Linked DNA regions of Alligator mississippiensis. The protein of the gene in region 1 purifies or fractionates together with the protein of each later gene. This does not show direct contact. Links are inferred from orthologs where the notes say so. Each region holds a gene or a part of one and is shown on either strand. Other genes may lie near its edges.

What was found.
Region 2: the proteins of HNRNPR (region 1) and LARP7 purify together in Homo sapiens (affinity purification with mass spectrometry; 4 studies listed by BioGRID and IntAct, with this or other methods). This does not show direct contact. The link is inferred for Alligator mississippiensis from reciprocal best matches to the Homo sapiens genes HNRNPR and LARP7.
Region 3: the proteins of HNRNPR (region 1) and DDX5 fractionate together in Homo sapiens (co-fractionation; 3 studies listed by BioGRID and IntAct, with this or other methods). This does not show direct contact. The link is inferred for Alligator mississippiensis from reciprocal best matches to the Homo sapiens genes HNRNPR and DDX5.
Region 4: the proteins of HNRNPR (region 1) and HNRNPA1 purify together in Homo sapiens (affinity purification with mass spectrometry; 7 studies listed by BioGRID and IntAct, counting the BioPlex papers as one, with this or other methods). This does not show direct contact. The link is inferred for Alligator mississippiensis from reciprocal best matches to the Homo sapiens genes HNRNPR and HNRNPA1.

What each region holds. Positions count from the first base shown.
Region 1 is NC_081829.1:9,933,818-9,940,786, reverse strand, and holds the start of HNRNPR (heterogeneous nuclear ribonucleoprotein R), read left to right. Parts: upstream 1-3,957; 5' UTR 3,958-4,013; coding exon 4,014-4,094; intron 4,095-6,969. UniProt on the Homo sapiens protein: Component of ribonucleosomes, which are complexes of at least 20 other different heterogeneous nuclear ribonucleoproteins (hnRNP). hnRNP play an important role in processing of precursor mRNA in the nucleus.
Region 2 is NC_081825.1:125,983,092-125,990,022, forward strand, and holds the start of LARP7 (la-related protein 7), read right to left. Parts: upstream 3,020-6,931; 5' UTR 2,926-3,019; intron 1-2,925. Other genes in the region: protein ZGRF1, read left to right, coding at 6,283-6,303, 6,414-6,494, 6,609-6,665. UniProt on the Homo sapiens protein: RNA-binding protein that specifically binds distinct small nuclear RNA (snRNAs) and regulates their processing and function.
Region 3 is NC_081831.1:6,442,911-6,450,727, reverse strand, and holds the start of DDX5 (probable ATP-dependent RNA helicase DDX5), read right to left. Parts: upstream 3,022-7,817; 5' UTR 2,916-3,021; coding exon 2,884-2,915; intron 1,962-2,883; coding exon 1,796-1,961; intron 1,540-1,795; coding exon 1,443-1,539; intron 1,344-1,442; coding exon 1,210-1,343; intron 1,029-1,209; coding exon 963-1,028; intron 529-962; coding exon 387-528; intron 299-386; coding exon 138-298; intron 1-137. UniProt on the Homo sapiens protein: Involved in the alternative regulation of pre-mRNA splicing; its RNA helicase activity is necessary for increasing tau exon 10 inclusion and occurs in a RBM4-dependent manner. Binds to the tau pre-mRNA in the stem-loop region downstream of exon 10.
Region 4 is NC_081838.1:7,977,954-7,985,356, forward strand, and holds the start of HNRNPA1 (heterogeneous nuclear ribonucleoprotein A1), read right to left. Parts: upstream 3,018-7,403; 5' UTR 2,960-3,017; coding exon 2,927-2,959; intron 2,733-2,926; exon of another isoform or gene 2,640-2,732; coding exon of another isoform or gene 2,625-2,639; intron 2,282-2,624; coding exon 2,165-2,281; intron 1,060-2,164; coding exon 913-1,059; intron 307-912; coding exon 96-306; intron 1-95. Other genes in the region: CBX5 (chromobox protein homolog 5), read left to right, coding at 3,231-3,320. UniProt on the Homo sapiens protein: Involved in the packaging of pre-mRNA into hnRNP particles, transport of poly(A) mRNA from the nucleus to the cytoplasm and modulation of splice site selection.

The DNA.
Region 1 (6,969 bases):
CACCGCAGGCTGGACAAAGACCCTCTAGTCCGTGGGCCCTATTTTGCCCACCCCTGATGTAGAGTGTGTAAAAGTGCAAGTTGCACCAATCAGGAATCAGTGCTGTGAATCCAGGATAATGAGCAAGAGCTGCAGACTTCCAAAGGAAGGGGCCATGTTTCTGGAGGTATATGTTAACCTCATCTCAGCCTTTTTAGAGCAGAAAGGGAGAGCTGCTTTTACAGTTGAAAAGTAGATGGCTTAATATCTGGAAGCTTGCAGCCTCCGAGTAATGTCAGGCAGAAGGCACAGCAGGGAGGTACCATAGAGACTAACTGGTTAAAAAAGGTGTTGTAGGCAACAGTCTGTGAACAGTTAGTTTGTGGTTGAAAAGGGGATGGGGTGGGCAGTCATCATGGGTGTATGCATAACTATTAAGCGTGATTATCCTGCTGCAGACAACTGTGACTGGGCAATGAGCAGGACATAAGAATCCCCTTGCTTCAAAAGCTTCTTAACTGTGGAGGTCAATAAACAGAACAGGTATCCCAGTTCCTTCCTGCCTCTATCCCGAGTTTACAAACTGAAAGGGTTATTTTCCATGCTCATGCAGGCACCGATGGGTTACCCAGAACATTTCACAGACATTAATTCTGGCTGGCCAGGAAAGGTACATAATGCTCACATTTAGAAGAATGCAGAACTTTTTCAAAAGATACGGGCAAAGACATTCTTCCCCAGCAGGTACCTTCGTACTGCTAACGTTGAAATGACAATGGTGTTTCTGGGGTACCCAGCCCACATTTTGCAGCCTTGGCTCATGAAGCCATCCACTAGATACTTGGTGACAAAGAGAAATTAAATTGCCAACAGAAAGCAGGTGCAGGATGGCCATTAAAAATGCTTTTGTTGAAAGCCTGATGGACCTTAGTGGATCCAGTACCCCTGAACTTGCTGCTGCTTGCAGTTGGTCAAACACTGTTTGCAAAGTGCCAGCAGAGTGGCACATGGAAATTGTCAGACTGCTGAATTTGAGCAGCCAGAGAGTGGGGCAGCTAGCTACTGGTGCTTGCCCAGATGCTGTGTGGCTGAGGGAGACCCTAAGGCAACACCTCAGTGTTGTGTCTTGAAGGGCACTACCCCTGCATGCTTTGTAATGAAGGGAACATGAAGGTTTTGTGCATGTGCACAATAAAATGAGGTGCCCTTAACATGTCTGAATGCAGTGAAGCTAAGCACTAATGCATGAAGCTGGTAACAGTACACTTAATATTAAACATATCCAGTAGATGACTGCCCAAACACCTCTCTCATGTAGTTTGAAAGGTTTTGCACCGCTAGAGAAAGTTCAGCATGCCCCTTATCTATCTGTATATATCGATATCTGTATATATAGATATCTATATCATACATACGGACACATATCTATCTCTGAGTGTATATATATATCTATAGATATATCACACACATATCTATCTATATATAACCAATATATAGTCTATGTGTAGCCAACATATAGTCTAACCAAAGTGTGTGTAGATAGATATATATCATAGAACTATAGAATCATAGAAAATTAAGGTTATAGAATCATAGGAAATTAGGGTTGGAAGGGACTTCAGGGAGTCATCTAGCCCAACTATCTGCTCAAAGCAGGACTATCCCCAACTAGATCATCCCAGCCAAGGCTTCGTCTAGCCAGGCTGTAAAGCCCCGCAAGGACGGAGATTCCTCCACCTCTCTGGGTAACCTGTTCCAGTGCTTTACCACCCTCCTAGTGAGAATTTTTTTTCCTAATATCCAACCTAAACCTTTCTTGCTGCAACTTGAGCCCATTGCTCTTGGTTCAGTCATCTGTCACCACTGAGAACAACCCAGCTCCATCCTCTTTGAAACCCTGCTACAGGTAGTTGAAGGCTGCTATTAAATCCCCTCTCAGTCTTCTTTTCTGCAGACTAAATAAGCCCAGTTCCCTCCACCTCTCCTTATAAGTCATGTGCACCAGCCCCTGAACCATTTTTGTTGCCCTTCAGTGCACTCTCCAATTTGTCCACATCCTTTGTGTAGTGGGTGGGGAGGGGCAAAACTGGACATAATACTCTAGATGTGGCCTCACTAGCACAGAGTAGAGGGGAATAATTACTTCCCTTGATCTGCTGGGAATACTCCTACTAATGCAGCTCAGTATGCTGTTAGCCTTCTTGGCAACAAGCAACAAGGGCTCATTGCTGACTTATAATCATCTTATTGTCCACTGTAAGCCCCAGGTCCTTTTCTGCATGCACACACAGTTATGTATCTATCATATACGTACACATTTTTAATATATACACACACTTACAGGTTTCCTTGACTTTATGCTGTACATGCATTCCTGGAAAACAGTGCATAACTCAAATTCACATAAAGGGAACCCACTTCACAATGCAACAAGTAGGGATATGTTCCAAGACCTCGACTGTACTGACTCCCAAATCCATTCCTACCACTTTAAGACAATTTTGGTACTTTCCAACACCAGACGGGTGGCTGCCACTGCGTGCGGCACTTTGTGCCCAGCTGCAGCTGCTCCAGGATCAGTGCTGCTGGCTGCACTGTGCCCCCTGCCCGCCCAGCGGTGGGATGCATGTGATGTTGCGCCGCTCCCGGGGCAGCTGCAGAAGCACGGGCACCAGCTGCCCTGGGCAGCAGGCTTCCATCACACTGATAAGAGTGAATTTACCTCGCCTATAATGAATTTTTAGTATGAAAAGAATCATTGCATAAGAGCAAATTCGCACATACAGAACCTGCATAAAGTAAGGGAAACCTGTATGACATCCTGGCTGGGCCAGCATGGCTACAGCACCACTGACCCAGCTGCAGCAGCTGCCTTGAGGCAAGTACCAGGTGGGGTAGATATGCACCATACAGACTATATACACACACTACATATAGAGTGTGTGTATTGGTTATATATGGCTCGTCTACACGCACGACTTAATGCACACTAGCCTATTTTAATGTACGTTAAGGCATCACAAAAAACACGCTCTTTAGCCTAGTGCACATTAAAATAGGCTCAGGCCCATTTTCCCAGTACCTCACAATGGAGGTACGAGATTTACTACACGTAATCTAAAGTGCATTAACTGAACATGTAGATGCACCCCTAGAGACTAACCGAAGGGTGCATAATGACATCTATCTATCAAGAGCACACACCAAGTGCAGATGCTTCCTCAGCCTGATGAAGGGTATTTAAACCCGACAGCTTGCTAAGAAGAATTTTTCCAACTATTTGAGTTGGTCTAATAAAAGAGATCAGATTTACCCAAAGACCTTTGTCTGCCTGTGTCCTTTGACCAGCATGGCTACAACCTACACCCCTATATCTATCTATCTATCTATCTATCTATCTATCTATCTATCTATCTATCTATCTATCTATCTATCTATCTATCTATCTATCTATCTATCAGGTTTTTGAACCCGAAAGCTTGCTTAATAATTATTCTCCAACCATTTGGGTTGGTCTAATAAAAGATATCAAATTCACCCAAGGAACCTTGTCTGCCTATCTCCTTAGACCAACACGGCTACAACCTACACCCTTGTATCTATCTATCATGCACGTATCTACCAGATATACGTGTGTATCGACACACCCTTAGGTCCGTGTCTGTACAGTGTATACTTGGGCTGTACGTGCGCACACACGCGTGGCCTCCTCGGTGCAGCTGGACCGGGTTTCTCGGGCGCGGCCCCCTGGCGATAGGGGGCGCTCGCGGGACGAAGCCACCTCCCTCCCTTTGTTCGGCGGCGCTGCCCCTTTAAACCCCAGCGCTCGGGCCTCGCCGGCTCGCGCGTGCCGCCATTGGCCGGGCCCAAGCGCCGAGGGGGCCGAGCGCCCCGCTCCCGCGCCGCTCCCATTGGCTGGCGGCGCCGTCCGTCGGGCGCGAGGCTCGCTGACGGTGGGCGGGCGGCGGCGACGCCGCGGTCCCTGGAAGCAGTTCCGGGAAACCCCGCGTGCCGCCGGGGTCGCGCCGCCGTCCATGAGGAGAAGGAGGAGCGCGCGCCATTTGCCGTCGCTGCTTGGGCCCGAGCTGCGCCGCGCAGGCCCCGCTCCCGCTCCGGTGAGTCCCGCGGCGCCGCCGGCGGGGGGGGGCCGAGGCGAGGCGGGCAGGCCCCGCGCAGCAGCGGCGGCGGGGAGGGGCGCGGCCTGGCGCTGGCGGAGGAGGCGGGCCCCGCGCAGCCGCGCCGGGCCTGGAGGCGGCGGGGCCCGGGCCGCCCAGGCCTGGCGGGGTGGGGCAGCGCCCGGCCACGTGGAGCACCGGGCCCGGGGCGCGCGCGTGTGTGCGTGTGGGTGCGCGGGGGGGGCGGGAAGCTTGGCCTCGGTGGCCCCGGCCCCGCGCTCGCAGGCGGCGGAGGAGGACGTGCTTGCTTGTGTGCCCGCCCGCCTCGCTGCGAGCCGCCGGGCCCTGCTCGGGGGGGCTTCGCGCTTTTGCGGGGCCTCCCCAGCCTCCTCCCAGGAAAGTCTGGCAGCCGCGATGTTTTGCGCGGCAGGAAATACCCGGCCGCGAGGATCGGCCTCTCCCGCCGGCCGCGCCGAGCGATTCCCGGTGCCTTAGCGCCCGCGCAAGCGCTGGGGGGAGCCGCTTTCCGCTGCTCAGCTCAGCTCAGCCCGCCTGGGATGCGACTGGCTTTTTTGCTTTGCTTCCCCATCATTTTTTTTTATTATTATTTTTGCAGATCTATCTGCAAAACTTGTTGATTTTAAAAGCGGGAATTTAATATCCATGTCCCTCTGTTACATGTGGAGCTTGATGATCTGTCTTGCAAAGCAGTTTTTGTTCTTTTTCTTTTTTGCGGGGAAGCTCACGTGTTAAATAAATGTATCTTGGCACCCGTGCTGTGTGGAGTAGGTAGAAGAGGCATTGAGACATTCAAATGAATGAATGTTAAGACCCCTCTGCAGGGTCGCTTTGAATTATCCCTCAGACATTGCCCCACACATGCTTACAAGCCACCCCAGTGCTTAATTTGAGTGAACTGGCAGCATATCGAGTTCATCTACCACTGGTCAGGTTAATATAATACCATCACTTTGTGCAGTGATCTAATTGCGCTGACCACCTACAGCGCTAGTATAGCTGCTAACTGACTGCCGTGAAATCGTGGTAGGAGTGTCTAAGGCCATGACAGGCAGCGTTGGGTACCTTCATTAGTGTCTTCTATGTAGTTTTCAGCCTGAGAGCTGTGCCCATCTTTCTGTATGCCAAGAATGGGAATTGAGATCCCCCAAACTTTCTAGTACATGTTGTGATTTAAGTCTAAGAATTACTGTGTTGGAGGGGTGAGGGTGTAAAATACTCATTAACAGTAGCACATGCTGTAGTAGAAATCAAATTGAGAAAGATTGAGATTAGTAGAGGCAGTATCTTCCCAATAAAAACTTGACCAACCTTGTGCTGTGTTCATAACTATGAACCAGTGAATATTTTGTAGCGTGTTTTTTAAGTAAGTTCTAAATAAGACCAAGTTACGGTTGTTTTTACTACACCACAGTTTACTTGTATGAGAGAAACAGTTGTAATATACCTTCTTTCAAAACTTGAATGAATCTCATTAGTGACTGGAAGGTCCTTCAGTAATCATGTCAGAGTTCAGCTTCCCATTATAACCCCTTGTCTCCCCTCATTCATAACTTCCTTATTTTTTCCTTTTTGGTTTGAGACGTACTGTGGCTTTAGACTAAAAGTAGTTCTTTTGCGTGGTATCAGATTGTCTTGCTGTGCTCCAGGGATGCTGGGAAGGGGAGCTACAAGCTTAAAACAACTACTTTTGATGCATTAATAATGTAAATGGTTGGCATTCAGTATTTTAACTGTCCTACTTTTAGACCTCCAAGTTATCTGCAAAGAATATTAAAACCAGAATCGGGCTCAGAGTCCAAATTCTGTAGAACTTTTTAGTTATATCTGTTGCATGTTCAAGTTGACTATGTCCACTTCTGCTCCATGGTGGTCAAACTATAGCTAAATAGCAGTCCAGAGAAGTCTATTTTCAGCTGCCATACTTTCTTTTGATTTGTCATGTTAATAGAAAGCATCTATGGGGGAAAACATGGAGGCTTGACCATTTTGATTTTTTTTTTATTGTTTCTTTAAAATAAAAGCATTTTCCAGGTAATTCAAAACCAGATTAAATTTGACCTCCTAGTTTGTGTGAGTAGAACCTCATGAGAGCTAGTTATTACAGTAACACATTGTGAGACAGGGTATGGGCAGGATACCCAATTAAAAATACAAAGTAGTTGGAAGTATACTTTAATAGTATAAAGTTCCTGTTGTCTTCAGTTGTGTAGCTGGGAGTTGCAATATGGAGTTTTTAGTAACACATCTGACTGCACTTCCACATGGTCTTATTAGTATTCCAGGAACAATCCCCACACACAATATATATACTGATAATCAGTAACTGCTTTCAGGAGGTACATCTTCATGTGCACCTTCTGAATTCATCTCTTTCTGGACACTACATATATATGTATATCTTTCACCTGAGACTTTTGCACACATCTGGGGCAAAACAATTCACTAACCCTCTGAAATTAGGCATAGTTCTGTGCCTGCACATGAAGGTTACACTATCCAAATTTACTTGAATGCAGTGCTTTTTATTTATGACAGGTCAGAAGTTGAGCCATATCAGATACCACATACAACATCTATATACACTTACCTGATTTTGTGGTCATCTTTTTAGTGTTGCATACTTTTAAATATTAAATCTTTGAAGTTCATTTCAAGTATGGAAAGGGAAAGCAAAGGTATTCCTTAATCAGACTCTTTTTTTTTTGTGCATTCAGTTGTGTGTTGTTTTTGGTGGCAAAGTATCTTACTAGATTTTATCCCTAGTTGTCCCACGTAGCGCACACTGCTAAGGAAGGAAGACTAGGTATTTTCTTTCTCTCTTTCTCCTCCTCCCCCACTCCCCCATCACTGTAAT
Region 2 (6,931 bases), on another chromosome or scaffold:
TTTTACACAGGTAACATCTATTACAGGAAGTACGTTCCTGAACTCCCTGACAAAATTCACTGTAAGGGATCTAAACCATTTACTTGGATGGCTGTCCATTACCTTGGTGAATATACAACTTTCACATGTCTTAAGAAGGAAATAGGCAGGCAAGGTTCTTTGAGTAGATGTGATATCTTTTATTAGACCAACTGAGTAGTTGGAAAAAAGTTCTTAGCAAGCTTTTGGGTGCAGTCACTCTTTTTAGACCAACACAGCTACAAGCAAAAACCCCTTAAGAAGGAAATAACATTTGAATTTGTAGTTTAATCTTTAAAAGTTTGGTCTTTAAAAATCTGTATCTTAAACTTATAAACATAACTGTCTTGCTTGTATTGATTTATGGCCTTATTTGCCTCTGACATCCACACTAGCTCACACATTACTGCTAGGGTTTATAAATGAACTTGCTATTTTTAAATTTCTTTATCTTCTAAAGTAATATTTAAGTTGAGGCAGAATAAGTTTATTCTGATTTTCCCCCCTAGCTCATTGACCCTATCTTTTTTTTTTGCAATGCTGAACATTCTTTTGGTCATAGAATCATAGAGAAGCGGGGCTGGAAGGGTCCTCTAGTCCAGCATTTCTCAACCTATGGGTCACAAGAATATATGAAAGGGTCACGAAAAAAAACTTTAAAAAATGGATTCTCCTTTAAAGGAGAAAAACTTGGAAAACCGTGGCTTCTCCCTTGCAGGCTGTCAGAGTTCCAGCCTGCAAGGGACTGCTTGGGGCCCCCTATCCTCCATTCCCCAGCTCTTGCCCCATACACTGGGGGCTTGGGGGCAGTGGGTCAGGAGTGAGGGACACTGGGCTAGGACTGGCCATCAATGTTTACAAATGGGTCCTGGTACAAAAAAGGTTTGAGAACCACTGATCTAGTCCAACTCCCTGCCTGAGGCAGGATCATCCCTATCCAAAACATTCCATACAACCATAAATCTAAACTTTACATAAGACTAGCCTCAACCCTGACACAACATCAGCCTGTACCTAACCTGCCACAGGTAAAGCAAATTTTGACAGCATATTTTTATAAACACGTACATTTGTATTTTTGAAGATGATTTAAGAGAGCTTTAGTGCTTTGGATTTATGTTTAATTCATGACTGCAAAAATGTTCCGAATGGTATTAAGGAAAATTGTAACAAAAGCTCCATTTTAACAAACATAAACAGATGAGATGAGCAACAGCTTCAGTGTTAAAATGTAACTACTGCTTACAAAATAAAATTTAATTTTGTTCACATATGCACACGTACATAGCACTTCATACCAAAAGCAAAAGTAAATGTAACTTTGAGAGGTTGTGTTCAAGTACTTGAAATTGTAGCATAGCACAGTTAGCAAGTTTAAGTTATGCTGATGTCTGTAAGACCTGATCTTAAGTTTCAGCCTCCTGTTTCTTCAGTTTGTCTCCCAAAGAGATCTCCCTAAAGAGAAAGCATAGGCCTCCCTGACAGTTTAAAAAAGCAAATAGAAAATCATTTTTGACAGGGGCAAAGGACTTCTAGATTTTGTTTCATAAAGAACAGTAACCTCAGATGCATAAGAAAGAACAAATAAAGAAAACAAAACAAATAGTCTCTGCAGTACAAGGTGTTAATCACTCAGCATTTCATGCCCTGTGAAAGGTCTGTTGTGTATTAATCCATATTTTTTTGTTCAGGACTGTAATGAGGGCCATCCATTTGAACATTAATGAGTTTAGTGATATATAATGATTTATTTTTAAAAGCCTAGGGACAGCATATCACTTAGTGATCATGGACCTTCAATGGCAGCTTGACATTTCAGCCCATGTACTGCTGTCCTCTCCGATTCCCATTCCGCTTCAGCCTTGAAATAGCACCTCAGAAAGGGTGATGTTCAAGGGAGTAGGAAGAGAAAATGGGAGCAAATATCAAATGTCAGCTATGAACCTGTCACCTCAATGTGAGAACACGCTTATTTCCAAGAGCACACTGATGCAACTAGGTAGTTTCCTGGGTAGCACCTGATCTAGGGCATTGGACTACATGACCTCCTGAGATCCCCTCCAACCCTAATTTTCTGATTCCATGATGGGAGGAGCTTCACAAATGTAGGCAGATATAGTGCAGACTTTCTTGGACTAGCCCACGGGTTGGCTAATGGGAGAAGGTTCACAATTTTGGGTAGGGCCCTGCGGGGCGATAAACTCAGGAACAGACCGTCCTGAACGGGAACCATGGGGCCGGAGGGGAGAAGTGGTACTACAGGAAGACAGAAGAGGATGGGAAAGAAACGACAGATTATCTGGTGGAGAGGGGCCTGGCATAGACTTTTTCAGGGGCAGGCCCTCTGAGGAGGGCAGTGGGTGGGGGTTCAGGTATGGAAATGGATGCATGGTGTGAACTGTGTAACACGTTTTTAGTGTGATTTGACCTGCCAAGTGAACCACAGGGGCCGCTTGGTAGTATTGAAGGTAGATATCTATAGATAGGTGCATGCACACGTGTGTATACACGTCTTGCCCGTCAGATGCTGGGCCAATGGGGTCAGTGTCAGCTGAGGAGGGCCTGACTTCTTCCCACTAACAAGTAAGAGGGAGCTGCATGAGTGTGGGCAGGAACACCAAGCCCCCTTCAGCCCACAGCACGACGGCCAGGGCAAAGCGGGGCCTGGGGGCAGCGCACATGCTGGAGGGAACCGCTAACACATGCGCGGACACAGCCTTTGCACACGACCCCACCGGAGCAGGACCCCCCACAACAGCCAGGACGCGGCTCTGCGACACGCGGAGTTCGCGCGCAAGCTGCTACAGGCCCCGCCCCCTCCCCCATGACAAGGCCCTGACGTCACAGCATTCCCCTTCCAAGCGCCGCGGTAGCTCTCGCCCGCCCCTCCCCCCCAGCGGCACTGACCTGCCAACGCCGGCCGCTCGGGGCTTCTGGCAGCGTCACGCGGGCGCCCCGCGGCCACAACCCTCCGCGCCTCCTCCAGCGCTCCGCCGTTCCGCCCCGCCGTCACGTCACAATCAACGCGACGCTCGAGTCTCAGAGCGAAAGCTCCGGGGCCAGGCCAATCAGCGAGGGGCGCTCTCGTGACGTATTACGCGCACGCCGGTTGCCAGGGGCCGACAAGGAAGCGGCTTGGTCCTGTTCCCCTTTCCCGTCAGGCGAAGCTTGGGCAGCCGGGGGCCTTCTGTGCCGGCGCAGAGGAACAACGTCATCGGCAGCTGGCGCGGGAAAGCTTCAAAGTTGAAAGGGTCCGGCGGTCACTTGGTCCCTCCGTGAGGTGGGTACGCACCTTCCCTTCGCTTGTCTCCATGTTACTGCCTGGGGGCGGGAGGTGGGGTAGGTTGGGGCGGGCTGGGGCTGGGGCTGGGGCTGGGGCTGGAGCCGAGCCGAGCCGAGCCGAGCCGAGCCGAGCCGGCCTCGGGCCCGCGTCCCGTCCCCGCCTGGTTACCTGAACGCAGCGTTGCCACACCTTAAATATGAAAGTACCCGCATGGGAAGCTCAGAACGATCGTGTTTGTTTGTTGAAAAGCGATCGTACCCTGAGAAATCTGCAAATAAATATGCCAATAACCCATCTTTTTAAATTTATGTTGCTCACTAATCGCCAGTGTGTGAGTGAGACCTGGGTCAGAGTCGAAGCATTTCTTTATTTCAAGGCAAGCAGGCAAAAGAAAACACTGACAGCAAACCCAGAAGTTGGCCTCTTGTGGGCTAAAGTGAAGCAGGGGCATCTCTTGGGCCTGCAGGTAGGATGCCTGCCAGTGGATTTGGGAGTGTCTGAAGTCCCAGGGTGAAAGCCTGGGACTGCGTCCTGCTTGCTCGGTCGATATGGATTTTGGAATGATTGAGTTCTGCTCAGTAGTATGATGTGGAACTGATCTGGTTGATTTGACCTGGAACATGAAATGTATTAATAATAATAAAAAAAGCCAAGCCCCCAAAGTTGGGTACGACCCCCGCTTGACTCAGGGCTGTCACCCCCAACATTTTACAATGTGGCACGGCTGCAGCAGCTCATCATGGTGGGTGGGTGGGTGGGTGGTACAACTACTCAGCGTGCTGCATCATGCCTTGTCCCATGTGGACCAGGCTGACAGTTGTTGCAGTGCCAGGATTGCACAGTACCAACAGGATGGTGGGGCAGGGGAGTGTTGGAGGAATCTGCACACTGTCTGGCCCAGCCAGGTCCTGGCTGTGGCAGAGTGGAGTGGTGTGGGGCACAACGCTCCCTCAGGCTTCCAGCAGTAGCTAGCAGTGTGGATAGGATCAATTGGCATCTCCCTGGCTCCCTCTCCCCTTTCCTCCCCTCTCCTCCCAGGCCTCAACAGCTCACAAAACTTCACATGTGGCCTTTCAGCCCAAATAATTGCCTGCCTCTGCTTTAAATGATGTGAAAGAGAGGGACTGTTAAACAATCCTTGTAATAAAAGGAGTGATGGGGAAACAGACTTATTTTGATCTTTCGTAACCTGTTAGCATTAGAAGAACTTTGAAGTGGTACTGATCCTTTCAGTTAGTCCCAGTCCAAAAAAAAAAAAAGATGAAAGTTGATTCTTTTTCTTTGGCTTCCCCTTTAATTTCTTTCTTCCTTTGTTGTTGAAAATATTTCAAGGTTGTTTGTGAAAATTAGGTGATGTTGTTTTAATATTTAATGATAGAACAAGAACAGCCAATTTGATGTCATTTACAATTTTAGCAGCTGCAGTTATGTTCTTTTAATAGTCAATGAACCAGGGGAAAACAGAGTCTGTATTGGTGCCCCTATTATTCAGCCTGCCTTAAACTTGTTTCCATTGAGTTTGCATGACTGCTTCTATAATTCCCAGTATTGTTCTAGTTCCATTTTGTTATTAAAGAAGAGGTAAAAAAAAAAATCTGAAAACTACTCTTCTCTTGAGTAACATGTTTATGTAAATGGCTTTATTTAATGCTGGAAGTCCAGAATCCTCTTCTAGCACTAGCACAAAAATGATGATAAACTGTAGAATCTGCCTTTTCTGTGGGAACTAGCATTTACACAACTGGAAACATGATTTTTCTATACAGCTGAACCAAGACTGATAGCGAAAAATATGGGAAACAGGAAAGCCCTCTGGTGGTAAGTTGTAGAATTTGAGCATTTGAAGATTTTTTTTTTTTTTTTTTTTTTTTTTTTTTTTTTTTTTTTTGCTTAATAAAGTAATGAAACCAATTGCACAGTTTGAGACTCATTGCCATGAATCTCTCTCATCTCTAATACCATAAATCAGTTGTATTTGACTAGAAACTGTTCTACAACAATGACATTTATTTTTACAATGTTGAATCAGTGTGGATCCCAGGAACAGAATGACAGATTTTAGCCACAGCATTGCAGAGTCCTAGGGTGTCTGTAGATGCGCAGGGATGCTGCTTCAATGTGCTGTAATTATAGCATTTTGGAGCAGGCTTGATTTAATTGAGCCTGCTGGAGTGTACTAATTGGTTTCACCCATGAACCACAGTTTGGTAACTACTGGTATGGTGCTTCAAAGTTAAAATATAGTATCTGTATTATCGATCCAACTATATTTTTATTAGGCTGGCTATCATGTAGTTTCCTATAATTTCTACAGCTGTCCAATATTTCTTGGCTTTCCATATTCCTTTTCTTATGTATGATTACTTTTAAATACTTTTTCATTCATTCATATTGATGTCTGTAGAGGCAGCCAGAGATTGCAAGTAGTTTGGGAGCATGTGCCAGTACTAGCTATTTCCCTGTGGTCGATTTTCATCATAGTGCCAGTAGCTAATAAAACTGACAATAGTTTCAATGAAAGTCCAACCCTTTGAACATAGACACAGATCATTATATTTTTATAAAATGTTGTTCTTTGTTGACTGGCTAACTGGGGGGGGGGGGGGGGTCAGCAGCTTAAATTTTAATGGGCCAACTTGTTATGTGTAAAAACAAAACAAGCAAACAAAAAAGGATTTTTCAGACAGTGGGCATTCTACATTTTCTGAAAATCATACCTTTTGAGGTAACCTAAGTTCTTATTGCCAGTGTGCATGAAGATTATGTTAATACGATAAAGCTTCTAATTTTCAAAGTGCTTTGTAAAAATTAATGGCTACATTTTCAGAGGTATCAACTGAGTTAAAATGAATGGTGCTTTGCACCTCTGTAAATTAGATTATTTGCTGATGTCTTCTAAAAAAGATATTTGTCTCCTAGGTAGCATGAGAGAGTGAAAAGTTGCAATGTAGACCTTTGATGAAGCAAAGCCATCCAAAGCAATGACTTGTCAAGAGTTTACTGTAAGTGTTTTTTATTAACAATATATAAAATTCAGTTAAATATTTCTTGTGTTTGTGCAACAACCACTATAAATTATCATTTCAGTAATTATCACAATTTTATTCAAAAGGTCTTATACACTCATCAGAAGACCAAGAAATCAAAAGTATGGCAAGATGGGGTTTTGAAGACCAGCACTGGAGGAAGTAAGGTGAAGAGTTCAAGTTTAATACAGTATGATATATTCTCTGAGTCTACCAAATCCACTCTGCTCTTTGAAATGCAGTAATTTGATTGTTTAACATTTCACTATGTTTCAATGCAGGCGACCTTATTTGATGACAAAGGACAATGTTTGGAGAGCATATTTGTCAAAACTCAGGTATATTTTTAACACTAAAAACTTTAGTCTTTGTTGGGACCACTATTCATCTTTGCACAGTCTAAAGTTCCCTGTCCTACTATTTTGTCTAATATATTCTGATTTTAGAAGTTGTTACAAATACAGGATTATAAATGGTCAGATGTAGCATATTTTTGATCTAACAAAGTATAAAGCATTATAGTAGCAGATTTTCACTACAGCGGATAACGTCTAATAAATGTGCTTTTTGTGGATAGCAAGTATCATTGTACTGTATAGTGCAG
Region 3 (7,817 bases), on another chromosome or scaffold:
CAAGTATACAAAGATGAGAAACAAGGTGGACACAGCAAGTTTGTTACATACGTAAAATGTTAGAAGACTGCTACAGGAATAAAGGTTAGCTTGGTAAACCAAGCTTAAAAAAAGCAAAAAAAGCAAGTAACACTTACTCTTATCTGATCTACAATTTTTCTGATCTGAGGTTCAAATCCCATGTCAAGCATTCTGTCAGCTTCATCAAGTACAAGGTAAGTGCACCTCCTGAGATTAGTCTTTCCAGCTTCTAAGAAGTCTATGAGTCTTCCAGGCGTGGCAATGCAAATTTCCACACCTTAAACCAAAGATGTTGATTAGCACACCTGACAAAAGTTAAGACATTGTTTATGTACTCGCCATGAAGAAATAAGTTCTCTTCATACCTCTTTCCAAGTCACGGATCTGTGGTCCTTTTGGAGCACCCCCATAAATACATGTGGACTTCAAACGACATGCTCTACTATACTCAGCAGCTACTTGCTGCACCTGTTGAGCCAGTTCTCGAGTTGGTGCCAGCACCAGACACTGGAAATAATTAGATTAGATTAGCTCTCTGTGCAATGATTACAAAACGTGTTTTATCTTTAAGAGAGAATGAAGATTTAAGGAAGTAATGAAAGATTTTATTTTCCGTTATGGGGAATGTGGCCAAAAAAAAATTCTATCCCAAGTGTTTAATTAAGAGCTAGAGAACTTGCTTTTTAGTAGGGCTCTCACAAAAAATCTTTTAGTTCCCTTGGTTTGGCTACCACTTACCCCATTTTTCAATTTTTCCACCAGTATGGACTCTTACAGCCAATACAAGAGAACATATGATTTAGGAGTGAACTAGCACTCCTGCTCTATTCTCAAAATAAGACATTATTTTGTCCAGAAGAGTATAAACACTCCTCCCTATTCATCTCAATATAAAAACGCAACCTAGAATGAAAGGATATTTCATATCAAGTTATACTCACAATAGGTCCATCTCCACGCTCTAGGAATGGCTGATGATTTATGTGCACTATGGCAGGCAACAGGTACTGTAGAAAAACAAAAGGCAGTTTTTACTCAAACCTGCTCCCCCCCTTATTGTAAAGCCAAAACAAGCTTAACTGCTATTACATAAATTAAAAACTAAGAAATTAAACAATTACACTAAAATGTATTAAAAAACAACCGAAAAAGAAGGAAACAGCAAAAAGAACCCCCCAAAAAACTTACAGACAGCGTTTTCCCCGATCCAGTCTGTGCTACTCCAACCATATCCAGTCCACTCAAGGCAACAGGCCATCCCTGGGCTTGAATAGCAGTTGGTTCAGTAAAATTCTGCCTCTGAATTACCTCCATAACATTTGCTGGGGAAAAAAAAAAGGGGGGGGGGGCATATATTAACTTGATGCTTCTATTTAATGAGCTTTGAATCAAATGCCTTGGCACTAATTGGCTAAACTTACCAGGAAAGTTAGCTTCGTAAAAGTTTATGAGTGGTTTTGGACAAGTATGGCCCTTAACTGTAATTTCTTTGCTTGCTCTGTATTGTTCAACCTCTTGCTGTTAAAAGAAAAGATGTTCAATTATTTTATTTATTTGAATTATTTATTTCGTTTCAATTATTTTAATAAAAAAAAACAAAAAAAAAACCCCATGTTACATTCAAATCCAGCTGCTGCTTGTAGTAACTTGTTTCAAGTCAGTACACTGGAAAGCTATCAGGCTCCAGTGGGTACAACCTTTGCAATATGAAGCCGATTAGGTTTAAAACGGCCAAAAAAAATAATTAAAAAAAAAAAATGGTCACAATACGTACTGCAGTACGCCGAACTACATCAGGATGCTCTTGGTAAAAATTCTTCTCAAATTTGGGCAGTTCATCCAAGTTCCATTTCTTTTTGGTAAGCTTCTCCCCCGGGTTTCCAAATTTCTTCCCGGAGAGGAGGCCGCCTCGACTCCCACCAAACCGAGGGGCTCCAAACCTGAAAGACGCAGACAAGGTTAGGACTGACAGCAAACAAAAGAGCCGTGGCAGGAACGAGCCCCCCCCCCTTATAAACGCGTGCCGGTGCCTACCCCGACCCCCGGGCTCCGCCGGCGGGCGCGCAGGAGACGCGGGCACATCTTTATCGCTGCGCATCCGACTCAAAATGGGAGCCGCGCGCAAGAGGCTCCGCTCCGCTCTCGGAGGCGGGCGAGGTGCCGCCCGGCGAAGCTTTTTGTGTTTCTCCCCCCCCCAGAAAGCCCTTCCTTGCCGACGGATGACGCGAATAAATAAACCGCCGGCTGGACCAGGGCCAAACCCGGCGGCTTTCGTAAGAGCGGGGACACTCCCCTCCTGCGTCAGCCGAGCGGGCAGCGCCGAGCCGCGTCCCTTGGGCGCTGCAGGCAGGGGGGATTTTTATTTTTTTCCTCCCTGGTCCTCCGTGCAAACCACCGGGGGGGGGGGGGGGGGGAATGCGGCGGCCGGCGCGGTGCCTCCGCGGGCGCTTGGGCGAGGGGACAAGGCGGCGCGGTGCCCCCCTCGGCGCCGCTTCCTTTGTCTGGCATTTCTGCCTACGCCACATTTTCCAGCCGCTGCCATTTTAGAGCCGGGCTGGGCGGGGGCGGGGGAGGAGGAGGAGGAGGAGGAACAAAGGCAGCGCAGCCGGCATTTTGATTCCCCTCAGCCGCCGCATGGCGGGGCCGGCCATTAGCATCCGCCCGCCGCACAAAGGCAGCCGGCCCGTGCCCCCCGCCCCGCACCGCGAACCGGGCCCTCCCGCGCCCCGCATCCACCCCCTCATGGCAGCGGCGGGGAGAGGGAAGCGGGCGCCGCGGGGCCCCGACCCCCGCCCGCCGCCGCCATTTCACGCGGGGCAGGAGCCGGTGGCGGGCGCCGGCCGGGCCCCCCCCCGGCCTCACCCTCGGTCCCTGTCGCTGGAGTACCCGGGCATGGCGGCGCTGCTGAAGGAAGCGATTTTGCTGGTTGGCGGCGACGTTAGCAGAGAAGAAATAAGGTCCCGAGGTGTCGGCGGGGGCCAATGAATGGGGAGCGCCCGGCCGGCCGGATGCCGGTTATATAGCCGGCGCCGCGAGGCATGCTGGGAGCCGGCTCGTGACGTCAGCGCAGAACCTGCCCGGCTGTTTTATGTAAGCCGCTGCCGGTGGGCGGGGCCTCCGCTGCCGGTGGGCGGGGCCAACGCCCCATAGGCGCGCGCTCCTGCCCGCTGGCTGGTTGGCTGCGGCGCAGGCGGGCGGAAGTGCCCCGCCCAATCCGGGCGCGGCTCGCGCTGCCCTCACACTGCTCGGCCCGCCGGCCGCGTGCCGAGAACCCCAGGCGGCTTCTCGCCCTTCCCCTTCCGCGCCTGCGCGGCTGAGCGCGCCTGCGCAGTGCTGATTTTCTATATGCAACAATTTCCCCCCCACCTTTCGCAATTGCACCCTCTCCCTGGGTGGCTGCGGCGCGCCCTCCCCGCGCCCGGCGTTTTCATCGCCCCCGTTCGCAGACAAGGAACCGCAGCCGGCCCAGCCCCCGGGGATGAAACTAGCCTTCCCTGGGAAAGGACCTGCGCAAGTGCAGGGTGGCTGGACCCGACGCTCTGTGCAAGACTTTGGAAATAGCTGAAGCCCCTGGTGGGGGTGGAGGATGTTTCCCAGCGCAGGGCCGCTTACGGTTCTGGACTGACTCACGGATTTGGACTTCATGTGGCTGGGAACATGAAAAATTTCATTAAAAAAAAAAGTAAATCTGTAACATCTAGGAACCCCCGCAGTGCTGGGCAGCCGGGCTCCTGCGACTCTGCGGGGCAGAGGCATTTGTAGAAAGTGTTAATGTTACAAGACAACGGGTGCCCCCTGCCCCTCTCCGGGCCCTTGTGCCCTGCGCACTCTCTGCTGCGAGGCGGCAGCCCCCACTGCCAACTTGCCACAGCAGAACAGCCAAGGCAGCGTGTCCTGCCCATTAAACCACCCTGGGCGCATCTACGTGTGCACATTTACTGCGCAGTATGGGCACGCGTCTACACGTGCATGCTTGTACTGCACAGTAAATATGGCTACTTACGCCATCATGAGCCTAAATTTGCTACCTGCATCATGCTGGTATCAAATTTATTATGCCTGATGTGTTACTGCGTAGTAACACTGTGGATTGATTTGGGTCTAACTTTCGTCCCAAGTCACTCCACACAGCATTAATGTGGCCCACACATATAGACCCTGGCCTATTCCCATTTATTGCACAAATTTACTGCACAGTAAGTTACTAAACCAGCATGTATGCATGTGTAGACTGTGTAGCTGCAGTGCTGTCTCTCACCTGAGTTGAGCTAGATCAAGTGACGTAACCCAAACAAAAGTGCAGGGAAAACACCCCTAAGGGCATAGCTACAAAAGCAAGTTATGCTGAACTAAACTAGGGTGTGAACTCAGGGTGTTGGCACATACACAAATTACCATGAGGTAAACCAGGGTGTGACCTCCATGTTACCTATTCCAGAGGTCACTGCCCATAAACATGCTTTTACCCAGCAGTAAATGCAAGGTGAGGCACCCAGTTGACACCCTTCCAGAGTAGGAGCTGCTTGACAGTAGCTGCCCATATGCACACTCTTACTCTGCAATGAGCAGCAGCTTCCCTTTGGGGAAAAAAGGAAGGAAAAGCTACCTCACTGCTCATGGGGAAAGATCGTTCAGAAAAGCACTTACCACAGAGCAGTTGCAGGGCAGCCTGTACTATCAAGTACATGCCTCTTCATCCCTTTATTTACCAAAAAGGGCTTTAGTTTCATATCACTCCTTTTTCTAGTAATATGTACATACTAGATCTTTTTCTTAGTCTTTCCCAGCATTGCTACCATTTAAAACATTAAAGAAAATACCTGGCTTCAAAAGAAGATTGAGGCTGTGGGTATGGCTACCCCAACAAGTTAGCCTGGGAAGAGACAGCCAGCCTGCATGTAGTGCAGCATGACCCTGCAGATGTGTGGCATCGCAGACTGGGGAGGGCCCAGGCACTAGAAAGCAGAACAGCCAATGGGCGGGGAGTGCAAATCAGGAAACAAAAAAACAAAGCAGCAGATAGGGCAGGGAGCTGAAAGCAGAGCAGCAGATCAGATGCAGGAAAGGGATCAGAGTGGCAGTTTCAGGGGGTGTGGGGCAGGGATAGGCAACCCCTGGCATGAGTGCCAGTGTGGCACAGGAAGACATTAGGCTTGGGCAGATGGCGGGGTAGGGGCCAGGTCTGTGCTGCCACAATGAGGACCAGACCCCTCATGGCTCCCATGCCACCCACCCCTGGCACACCAACATCTTACAAGTTGCAGGTGTATTTGGCACTCTGCCCAACAACGTTGCCTACTCCTGGCGTGGGGCTAATTTGTGGCGTACTTGACAAAATGGTTAGGCCCCCACTGAACTGGGGGATGAATTTATAGCATATTAGCTACTCTGTGGTAACCATCTGTGTGCACACTCTTAGCTTGAAGAAAATGCAAGGTACCTTACCTCACTTTTACTGAGGGGCGAGAGCTACCTTGCATTTATTGCAAACTAAGAGCATTCACATGAGAAGTTGCCATGGAGACTGGCTAATGCACTGTGAATTCAGCATTAGCTTACCTGGATACAACTTGTAACCATACCCTGAAAGTCCTATTTGCACCCAAGGTGAAACAGTAGCTGCAAGAGGTGCAAACAGCTCAACTGACCTCAAATCAAATAGTTAATTACAATGCTTTGGCAGTCCTGGAATGATGTTGCAGCCACGATGGTTAAGGAATCATGCAAGAAACAAAAGGATCTTTGTGGGTGATATCTTTAATTGGACCAACTGCATGATCGGTGTAAAGTTAGATCAGCTTTCAAATGCAAGGTTTGTTTGTTTTTTTTAATCAGGTGTGCAGGAAGAAGCAGGCACAGCTATGATTAAAAACAGCGTGTAGGGCTGTGAAATTGGAGGACAGATTCCCAGGGGTAGCAGACAAACAATTACCAGAAAAAAGAAGCTTGGATTAACAGGCGATCAAGGTCTATCAAAAGGGAGGAGGCTCATTATCACCTTTAGTGATGAGGAAGGATTTGGGGAATTGGGTAGATCACAGTATGCCATAGTGTTCAGTCCTTGGTTCTTAGCATCTAGCCAGCTTATCACAGTTCCCCGTGCAGCCATGCTGGAATGACCCAGCTGGGGCCTGTTCACACACACCTGCACCAGGCTCCAGCTCAATTCAGCTATGTGGGAATGGGGTCCTATCCTGCTGGGGAGGGGGGGGGGGTGTTGAAAATTTGGTGTTGGGGGCAGCAGCAGTGTTAGTTGCCACTGCTCCCCCCCCCACCAAAATCGTTGGACCCACAGGGAGACCTGAAAACTCTGTGGGTCAGATCTGGCCTGTAGGCTAGGGGTTGAGCACCCCTGGATTAGAAGAATCATTAAATAACTGTAGTTCATACTTGACACAAAGCAAACACTGAGGAAAAAAAATCCCCAGCCCCTCCTCCACTCCTGGCTTTCAAACAACCTCCTTACTTTGCCCAACTCAATGTCAGAAACAAACTCCCCATTGCTGAACTGATACCAGAAGGGGCACATCCAGCCTTACCGACAGATTTAAAAAACCCACAAAAAAACCCCAAAAAATTGTCAACACATCTCCACTGCTTTAACAGTGAACACCAACCAACTACAAACCCATCAAAATCCATGGATCCTACATGCACCTCTCCCAAAGTATGATATATCCAACCCACAGCAACAAGTGCCCTCAAAATAACTATATAATGGGTGAAACTAAACAAACTGCACACCAGAATGAACTGTAAAAAAAAAAAAAAATTAAAATATATAAAGAACAGAAACACACAAGTGCCAGTAGGAGCACATTGTCTCCACAAAATAATAATAATAATAATAATATAAAATAAAATGAAATAAAAAATCACTTCTTTTCTGACCTTACTATTCCCATGCTCAAGGGCAATTTACAAACACTTACAAGGTGAACTCAGAGCAAGATTTCATGACATTTAGAATCAAGGACTGAACCCCAATATTGACTTCATGGCATATTATTAGCTGCCAATTCCTGAAATTCTTCCTTCACACTACAGATAATAACCACCTTCCTCTTCTGAAGAGTCATGATCTCCCATTAATCAAGCTTCTTTATCTGTTGTTTGTCTGCTGCCCTTGGGACTCTCTCTCCTCCAATTTCACAACCCTACACGCCATTTTAGTGTTCCTGCACCTGCTTCTTCCTTCAAACCTGATGAAGAATGCCTTGTAATCAAAAACTTTATCACCATCATGCAGTTGGTCTAATAAAAAAAGGTAATCAGCTACAAAAATCCTTGCCTCTTCCAAATACAATGCTGTTACTTGTCTAATTGATGACATAACTTCCACCTGACATGCTTGTTCAATGCAGATACACGTTCTAGAGCTGTATAATCTAAACTGTTTGCAATGAAAAAAAGCTGGCCTAGGGAAAGGAGGATGATTTTTGTGGCAGAGACACGTAACTGGAATCAGGCAATGTGCGTCCGCTTCCTGGTTTTGTAACAGACTTCCTTTTTCACATTTGGTGAACCTGTTAAAAACAAACAAACCCCTTTGTGCTTCAGTCTACCTACTTGTAAAATAGGAGTAAGACTTCTCTCCCACTCGGAGCCGTTGTGAACACTTAAATGAGGCATTCAGAAGATACAGCCATCTCCAGCCTTATACTGTAAACCTCGGTTTGATACCAGTAAATGACTGGTTTGTCTCTCCCTCATTCACTGCTCCCAAGGCAGCAGTTTACATCCCACTTGCCTGTCTTGGGCCTGTTTTATGCACCAGACATGATGCATGTGTAGGA
Region 4 (7,403 bases), on another chromosome or scaffold:
AGATATTACCTCCATGTGACTGACAAGTCTGACCCGCCCTTGAGTATCCAGGCAGAAAAGCTGGGTGGGACTGTAAGAGCCAGCCAGGTACTTACTGACAATTTTGTCCACAGAGTCGTGGTCATCGAAGGTGACAAAGGCAAAACCTCGCTTTTTGCCACTGCCGCGGTCTGTCATGATCTCAATCACCTCGATCTTGCCGTATTGCCCAAAGTAGTCCCGCAAATGGTGCTCCTCTGTGTCTTCCTTGATGCCCCCGACAAAGATTTTCTTTACTGTTAGGTGAGCACCAGGCCTTTGAGAGTCCTGCACAGGACAGAGAGGAAATGCATGAGGGAAAGAAGCATGACACAAGCACCCATTCTCTATGCAATAAAGGTGGCATCACATGGACCAGAAGCACATAAGTCACAAACCAGTGCATTGAAACTGGCTGCTCTCCTGTTGCCTGAAGGAGCACCTGGTGGGTGGTTAACAAATCCCCACCTACACCAGACCCCACAGTAAGGGGAAAGGGCTAATTCTCAGCCATGTTCCAGTGCAAAGGTGCCCATAAAGGCACAACTGGGGATTGAAATTGAGATGGAAACTGCAGCCCACCCCAAAACCACAAGCAAGATGGGGGAACTTTGTAACCCAGTCTTTCCGTGAGAAATAGCAGAGACCACCTTCCCACCCCCCCCAAACACAGCCAATGAAACAACAGGCTGCAGAAGCTACCTCGGGAGGAATCGTTCACAGCACAGAACGTAAGGAGCTAGAGCAACTCCCATAAATTGGAGCATGCCCAACCAAGTCTCAAATGACCAGAGCAGCCACGCAAATGAAGGGCTCCACTGTTAACTCAGCCTTGGTACAAGATGGAGGAGCACGCTTATCACCGACTCACTGGACTAGTCTTGTTGTTCCTACCTCTCTGGACACAGCCCTCTTTGGTTCAACAACTCTGCCATCGACTTTGTGCGGTCTGGCGTTCATGGCGGCATCGACTTCTTCAACGGAGGAGTACGTGACAAATCCAAAGCCCCTGGAACGCTTGGTGTTTGGGTCCCTCATCACCTAGAAAACACAAGTCTCCATGAGCAACCCAGCAAAGACGACACAAGTGCACAGAGGGAAACCTAGAGAGAACATTAACTGGCATTTCAGAACAAAAATACATATAAATGCATGACTAAGCCAACCCGATTCGTTTTAAGCTGCAGACAGAAGTGCAGCTCCTAGCTGTAAACTCAACTTGCTGCTTAGCAAGAATCTTCTACATTACCCCAAACCAAACAGAAGTTCACTGTTAGTTCCAGGGCGAGGGGAATGGAGGTGCTTTCCAACACCAACAGCCAGAACTCTGCCATTGCTGTTTGCATGATGGGAGGGGGAAAAAGGCAGCAGAGAGAGCTCTTCTGGGGGCACCCAAGCTGGTACTGAAGGGTTGGTGGACTAATTGGTGTGCCCCCACCCAGGGGGGGGGGGGAGGGGGGGTGTTTCCTAATACATCCACCCCATACTCCAGGGGGATGGAAAACCCCCCAGACTGAACTCCCTGTTCCCTTCCCCCCTCCCAATCTGAAAAGGAGGGGCTGGGAGCTCTGCAGACACAAGTTACACAAGGTGCTACATTTTGTAACGTCTTTATCCGATTCCTCATGCAATAAACTGCTTTTTGTGGCCAGAGGAGAAAGGTGTCACTTGTCCGCACCCTTATAGCACATTATATATACTTAAAAGTAATTATTTGCACAAATAAAGGTGATAAAAACACCCACTCTATTTTAATAGGTGCTAATCTCTCTGTAATCAGTTTCTTTTCTTCTGCCATTTGCCTGCTACCCCTGGGAACTTTTCTCCCCATTTATCCCATATGCGCTGTTGGCTTTTACTCAGACAGGATGCTGTTTGCGCTTGTTTAATCACATCAACGGCAGTGCATCTTTAACACCACAAAGGCAGCTTAAGGAAACCCATCCAACAACCCCAAAGCACCAAGGCTTTCAATACTCCATCGGACCAAGGCTAGGACAAGAAGACCCCGACCAATTTTCAGTCTCCTCGAGTACAAGTGCCACACGAGCTTATCTACCCCCCACCTTTCTCCCACGCAGGAAGAATATATAGCAGCTCATTAAATGGGTTTAACTCAGCTGAGGGGCCAGCCCGGGACACCCACCACGCAGTCGGTGAGCGTGCCCCATTGCTCAAAGTGGCTGCGAAGGCTCTCGTCTGTCGTCTCAAAGCTCAGACCGCCGATGAAGAGCTTGCGCAGCTGCTCGGGCTCCTTGGGAGACTAGAGAGGAATAGCAGGGAGTGAGCGGGAAACGAGACCTCGCAGGACTGGGGGCTAAGCTCCCGCCCGCAGGTACCCCAAACCCGCCCCCCCGCCCCTGCCGAGCCACGCGGGAGCCCCGGGAGAAAGGAAGCTCCGGCGCATGCGCAGTCGCCACGGCGCGCCGAGCACAAAGGCGCCCGCCCGCATGGCCCCGCGCGCCGCGCATGCGTCGTCCGCCCCGCCGGCCACGCAAGCCCACCCCCACTTGCGCAAGCGCAAAAACCGCTCGGCGCCCTCCGCCACGCAGGCGCAAACCCCAACGGGCGGGAGGACCCCGGCGGACGAGGAGGCCCCGACGCACCTCGGCCCTGGACATGGCGGCGGCAGCAGCGGCGATGCGGGCTCCTTGAGGTGCCGGCTCCGAAAGGGGCCGAGCAACGCCGGCGCCACCGCCTCACCCCGCCGGCGAGTTCCCATTGGGCGGCAGCCGCTGCGCCCCGCCCCCCTCACCGCCTCCTATTGGCGGAATCCCAGAGGCTGCAGGCTCTCATTGGTGGAAGAGCACCCGCGCCCTCCCCCATTGGCCAGGACAGAAACGATCCCGCCCCCGATCATGGCGACCATGCGCAGAGCCCCGCCCCTTCCCCCACCCCCCGCGCTCACCTTCTTTCCCGCTCGCGGCTCCATCCGCTCCATCGCGGGTCGCCCTGCTCCGCGCCGCCGCCGCTACTACCTCACGCCGGGGTCCGGGCACAGGTGGGAGCGGGGAGGCGAGGCCGCGCGGACTCCACCAGGGCGAGAAGCCGCGCCGCGGTTCAGACGCGCTCTAAGAAGAGGCCGGGGGCGGGCTCGCGCACGCGCAGCAGCGCGCGGGGCTCGCCCTACTGCGCAGGCGTAGCGGTGGGGGGGGCGGCACCTAGGAGGGAGGGGTCTGGGCGCTCATGCGCGGTGCGAGGCTCGCCGGCGCATGCGCGCTCGCGGGCTGTTTTGGCGGGCGGCGGGCGTTGCGCAGGAGCGGAGTGGAGAGGCAGGGGTGCCGGATCCGCTGCATCCCGAGGTACCCGGGCGGCGGCGCGGTCCGGGGGCTCGTTGTATGCAGTGAACGGGGGAGTGCGGGCGGGCTTGACAGACACGCGCGTGGGCCAATGGCGCGGCGCGTTGGCTCCGGGGGGGCGGGGCGGAGGCGCCGTTGCCTGAGGAGAGCGAGAGCAAGGCGCGGGGCCGTGAGGGACGGGCAGCTCCGCCAATGGGGCGGCGGCTTCGGCACCGGGGAGGGGCGGGGCCCCGCCGGCGGACGGGCGACGGCGGCGCCCAATGGCCGTGCCGCTTTTCTCCGCGCGCGCCTGGAACGCGGCCGGATTGGCGGGAGCGCCAGCGGCGCCGGCCAATCGGCGGCCGAGGTGGGGGGGGCTAAGCGCCCGCCCCGCTGCCCGTTACCGAGTTACCCCCCCCACCTTAGAATGGATCCAGGCGTTCGATCCTCATTGTGACGTCGGGGGGGTGGGGGTTACCGCACCGACCACGTGGGTGCGGGGGAGGGGGGGCTGGGACCCTGTTTGGACCCGCATACCCACGAGGGACCCCCCCCCCCCCACCATGGCCCTAGGTCCCCGCTTTAATGCGTCCGAGGAGCGGGGGTTGGCTTCCGGTTTGGGGCTGGGGCTGAGTGTCGTTCTCGTGCCAATCTCCAGGGCTGGTCCTCGCGGCTGGATCCCCACCCCTTTCGGGAGAGCGGAGCAAACACCTCGCTTGTATGCCGCTAACGGGGGTGGGGGCTGCTCTTCGTAGGCCAGGGGGAACTTTGGCCCACCTCCCTCCCCCCCCTCCCCAGCCGGTTTTGCAGTGGGGAGTAAGGGTTGGGCACGTGGGGCGATGCCTCACGAGGGCAGCGGGTGGGAACCCCGCCGCGTGTCGCAGCTGGAAATCATGTGCGCGAAGGCTTTGGGCGGCTTTGGGGGTCCTTGGCACCACGGCTGTAGCACGGATGGGAAAGGCTCCGATTGGGAGACCTTTTCCTTGTATTGAGGCAGCGGGGGGGGCGGCGCTGGGGAGGAAGGGAGGTCCTGCTTGGCTTGCACAATAGCATGGGGGCCGTCCACGGTGGAAGCTTTTCTGGCCTTCAAGCCAGAGCGAACACCAGTTGCTTCCCCGCCTCCCTCACACGAGGCCTCGGAGCATGGGCGCTGCTGGTGGAAGCTGCGGCCATCTCGTACCCTGGCTGCAGCGCGCGGCCCCTTGCAGCAGATCAGTGCGCTTTGCAAATGGAGCCAGGGAGGTGAGACCACAGCTCCTCGGCCAACAACGAGCCATGAGCTTTCCTTCCAGCTGGACCAGACGGCCAGGTACTGACGAGGGGCCTGGGCTTAGCCTTGGAGGCCTCCTCTGGTCCCAGAGCACGGCGAGGCGAGATTGCTGCGTTTTTTTAACGCTTCCCACCCCCAGGGGATGTCTAGTCTGCAAATGTGGCTGTGGCTGCGGCCTCTTACCCAGCTGCCCCCTACAACGCTCCTGTGTATGTGACTTCTCTTTGTAATGGTTCCAGTGGAAAGAAGCACTTGGGTCCCAGATGCGTTGCAGTGGCTAACAAGGGGAGCCTTGTGTTTAAACAGAGCGACTTGGAGAGCCGAGAAGGGGAACGGGCTCCGTGCAGGAGCAGACTGGGTTTCTGCCCCCCGGAGGCCATAGCAGCGGAGTCCCCCTGCCTGCGCCTCAGCCTCGTGCTTCTCTAGCAAGCCCCGGCCTGAGCTTTAACAATGGGCGGCGGTAACTTCAGCCCGACCGGCAGCGGGGTTTGCCTTTAGGCTCCGCTGGGATGAACGGGGAGCTCCTGCTGCTGAGCCATTGTCTGCCTGGCTAGACTGCTGCAGCAGGGCTCGGCTAGCCTTGCAGTATCTTAGTAACCAGACGGGCTGGCAACTGCAGCTGTGTCAGACTGGGAGGGGCTGGTGCTGCGTGGAGACCCCGGCAGGCTCCTGCTGCCTCTTTCTCCCAAATTAACCAGGGCTGGTGTGTGCGTGCATCTGCTGTGGTCCTGGGTAGTTGGGGTGGCATCAATGGGAGGTGATGGATCAGTTGAGGCGAAACCAAAGGGCCTCAGCTAGGTGAACTCTTGCATTCCTGGGAGGCTCCCTGCACTGTCCTGCCTGTGCGTTGGTCTGTGGCCTGGCCCAGAGGGGTTTCGAGCCGTGGCTGGGGTTTTCCATGCCATCGGAGAACACATGGGACAAAACAGATGAGTCTTGGGAAAGATGCCAGAGGCTAAATCCTGCCCTGTGCAGAAGACCCAGCGCTCTGGGCTTCAGCCATGTCTGCTGCCACGGAGCAGGATTGACCCCCACGTTTTGGTGGCCTCTCCAAGCCACCACCTCTCCAGGTGAATTAACTGCCCGTCACCAGACCGTGCTGGAATCTTGCCTCCAGCAATAAATACGCCCTCATGTTGAATGCAAGCCCCTGGCGCTAATGAGACATTTAAGGTTGGTTACACAATTAAAAGGGCAGGAAATTTCAGCCGTGGAGTTTCCGCTGGGAACATTAACTCTGCTGCATTGCGCTTTCGCGACGCTTTCAGGGAGCACGGGCGAGTAAAATAGTGACCTCCGCGCTAAACCTGAGCTGGGAGCGTGGAAGATGGATGCGATGAGGAATCCGGCTAATATTGCTGTTGGAGCCTTCGCTCCCGCGTTCCTCGCCTGAGCGTCCTGCCCTTCCCTCCTCCGCGTTGTAGCTGTACATTGAATTTCCAATGCTCTTTTTCTTTTTAACAGAAAGGGGAGGGTGTGAGAGGAACAAAGGAGGCCGGGAAGTGCCTTGGAACTGGAGAGCCGGTAGGAGCTATCCCTAGACCAGGCAAGAAGGAGCTTTCCAGCAGGGCCAAGTTCATCCATCTCAGAGGCATTAGCATGATCCAAGGGCACACGGGCCATTTCCCTCCACTTCAAGCACCTCCGTTTATTGAAGAGCTCTTCCTTTCTTCCTTGTGGGAGAAAGGGTTGTCCTGTGAACCCAGGTAGCGAGCACCTTGTCCAGCCACACTGCCAGCCCCTGTTTGAGAGCCTGATGGCTTTTCTGAGCCTGTAACAAGATGTGCGAGGGACCTTCTTCCACAGGAAGCTGGCCAGATGGGGAAAGGAGTTGCTTGCCATATATCGTGCTAGACACCTCCTTCATCCATGCCTAGACCAGGAGGAATGTTGGTGCCTGTTAAGCAGCATGTGCTGGATTGGTTAAATTAGGCTCCCCATAAAACTATCTAATATGCAGTGGCTCTGTGGTCCAAGCAGGGAATGGGGGATTTACTTGGATACTTTTGTCCCTAGGTAGAAGAAAAGGGGTGGGCGGGTGTTAGTGATCCTGTTAACCAGTGTCACTACCCTATAGCAGACAAGGGAGCTGTGGTTTTAGCGTGCTCCCTGACAGCCTAGGCACCCTCCTTTTTGTATAGACTTTGTGCAACAGAGTCTAAACCCAGTCTGTCTTGCTGGCCCTCAGGCTTCCCTGGATTGATCCTTGCACAGAAGCTGTGGGGAATCCCAAGCTCTTTAAGAAGGGAAACGCCTTGGATTAAAATGTCTGGTGCCTGTGGTGGCTCCAGGACTTAGCTAAATTCTCTGCTTGTAAAAAGGTGTCTTAGTTCTGGCCTGTATTTCCTTAGCTTCAGCTTCTGGCTCGCTGTCCCCTTGTCTGCTTGGTTGAGGAGTCCTTGATCTTAGCGTTTCCAGTACCTGGGTGGGTATCTGGGGTGGTCTCAATCTTCTTTTGGGCTCTTTGCTCTCATGGCAAGGCGAGGGTTCCCATCCTTCAGTCGTTCTTATGGCTCTTCTCTGAGCCATCTCTAGCTCAGCGCCCTTGACCGGTGGTCCCCAGCCTGCACGCGGTGTTCCAGCACCAGTCACTCCAGCACCAGGTAAGGATCTTGTAGAAACAACTTGCGGTTCCTCTGCCCTGTCTGCCACAGGGTTATATTGGAGGCACTTGCTTTCAATGATTATCCTCGATGCCCCAAGTCACTGCTGCCAGGAGAGAGCTCATCCTGTCAGTACAGCCTGTATTTGTTCCTTGCTGTTAGCCACAGCCCACCACGGTCCAGCTGCTGCCCTTGCGATGGAGCCCCCCTTGATATCAGCACTCCATCCCCAAC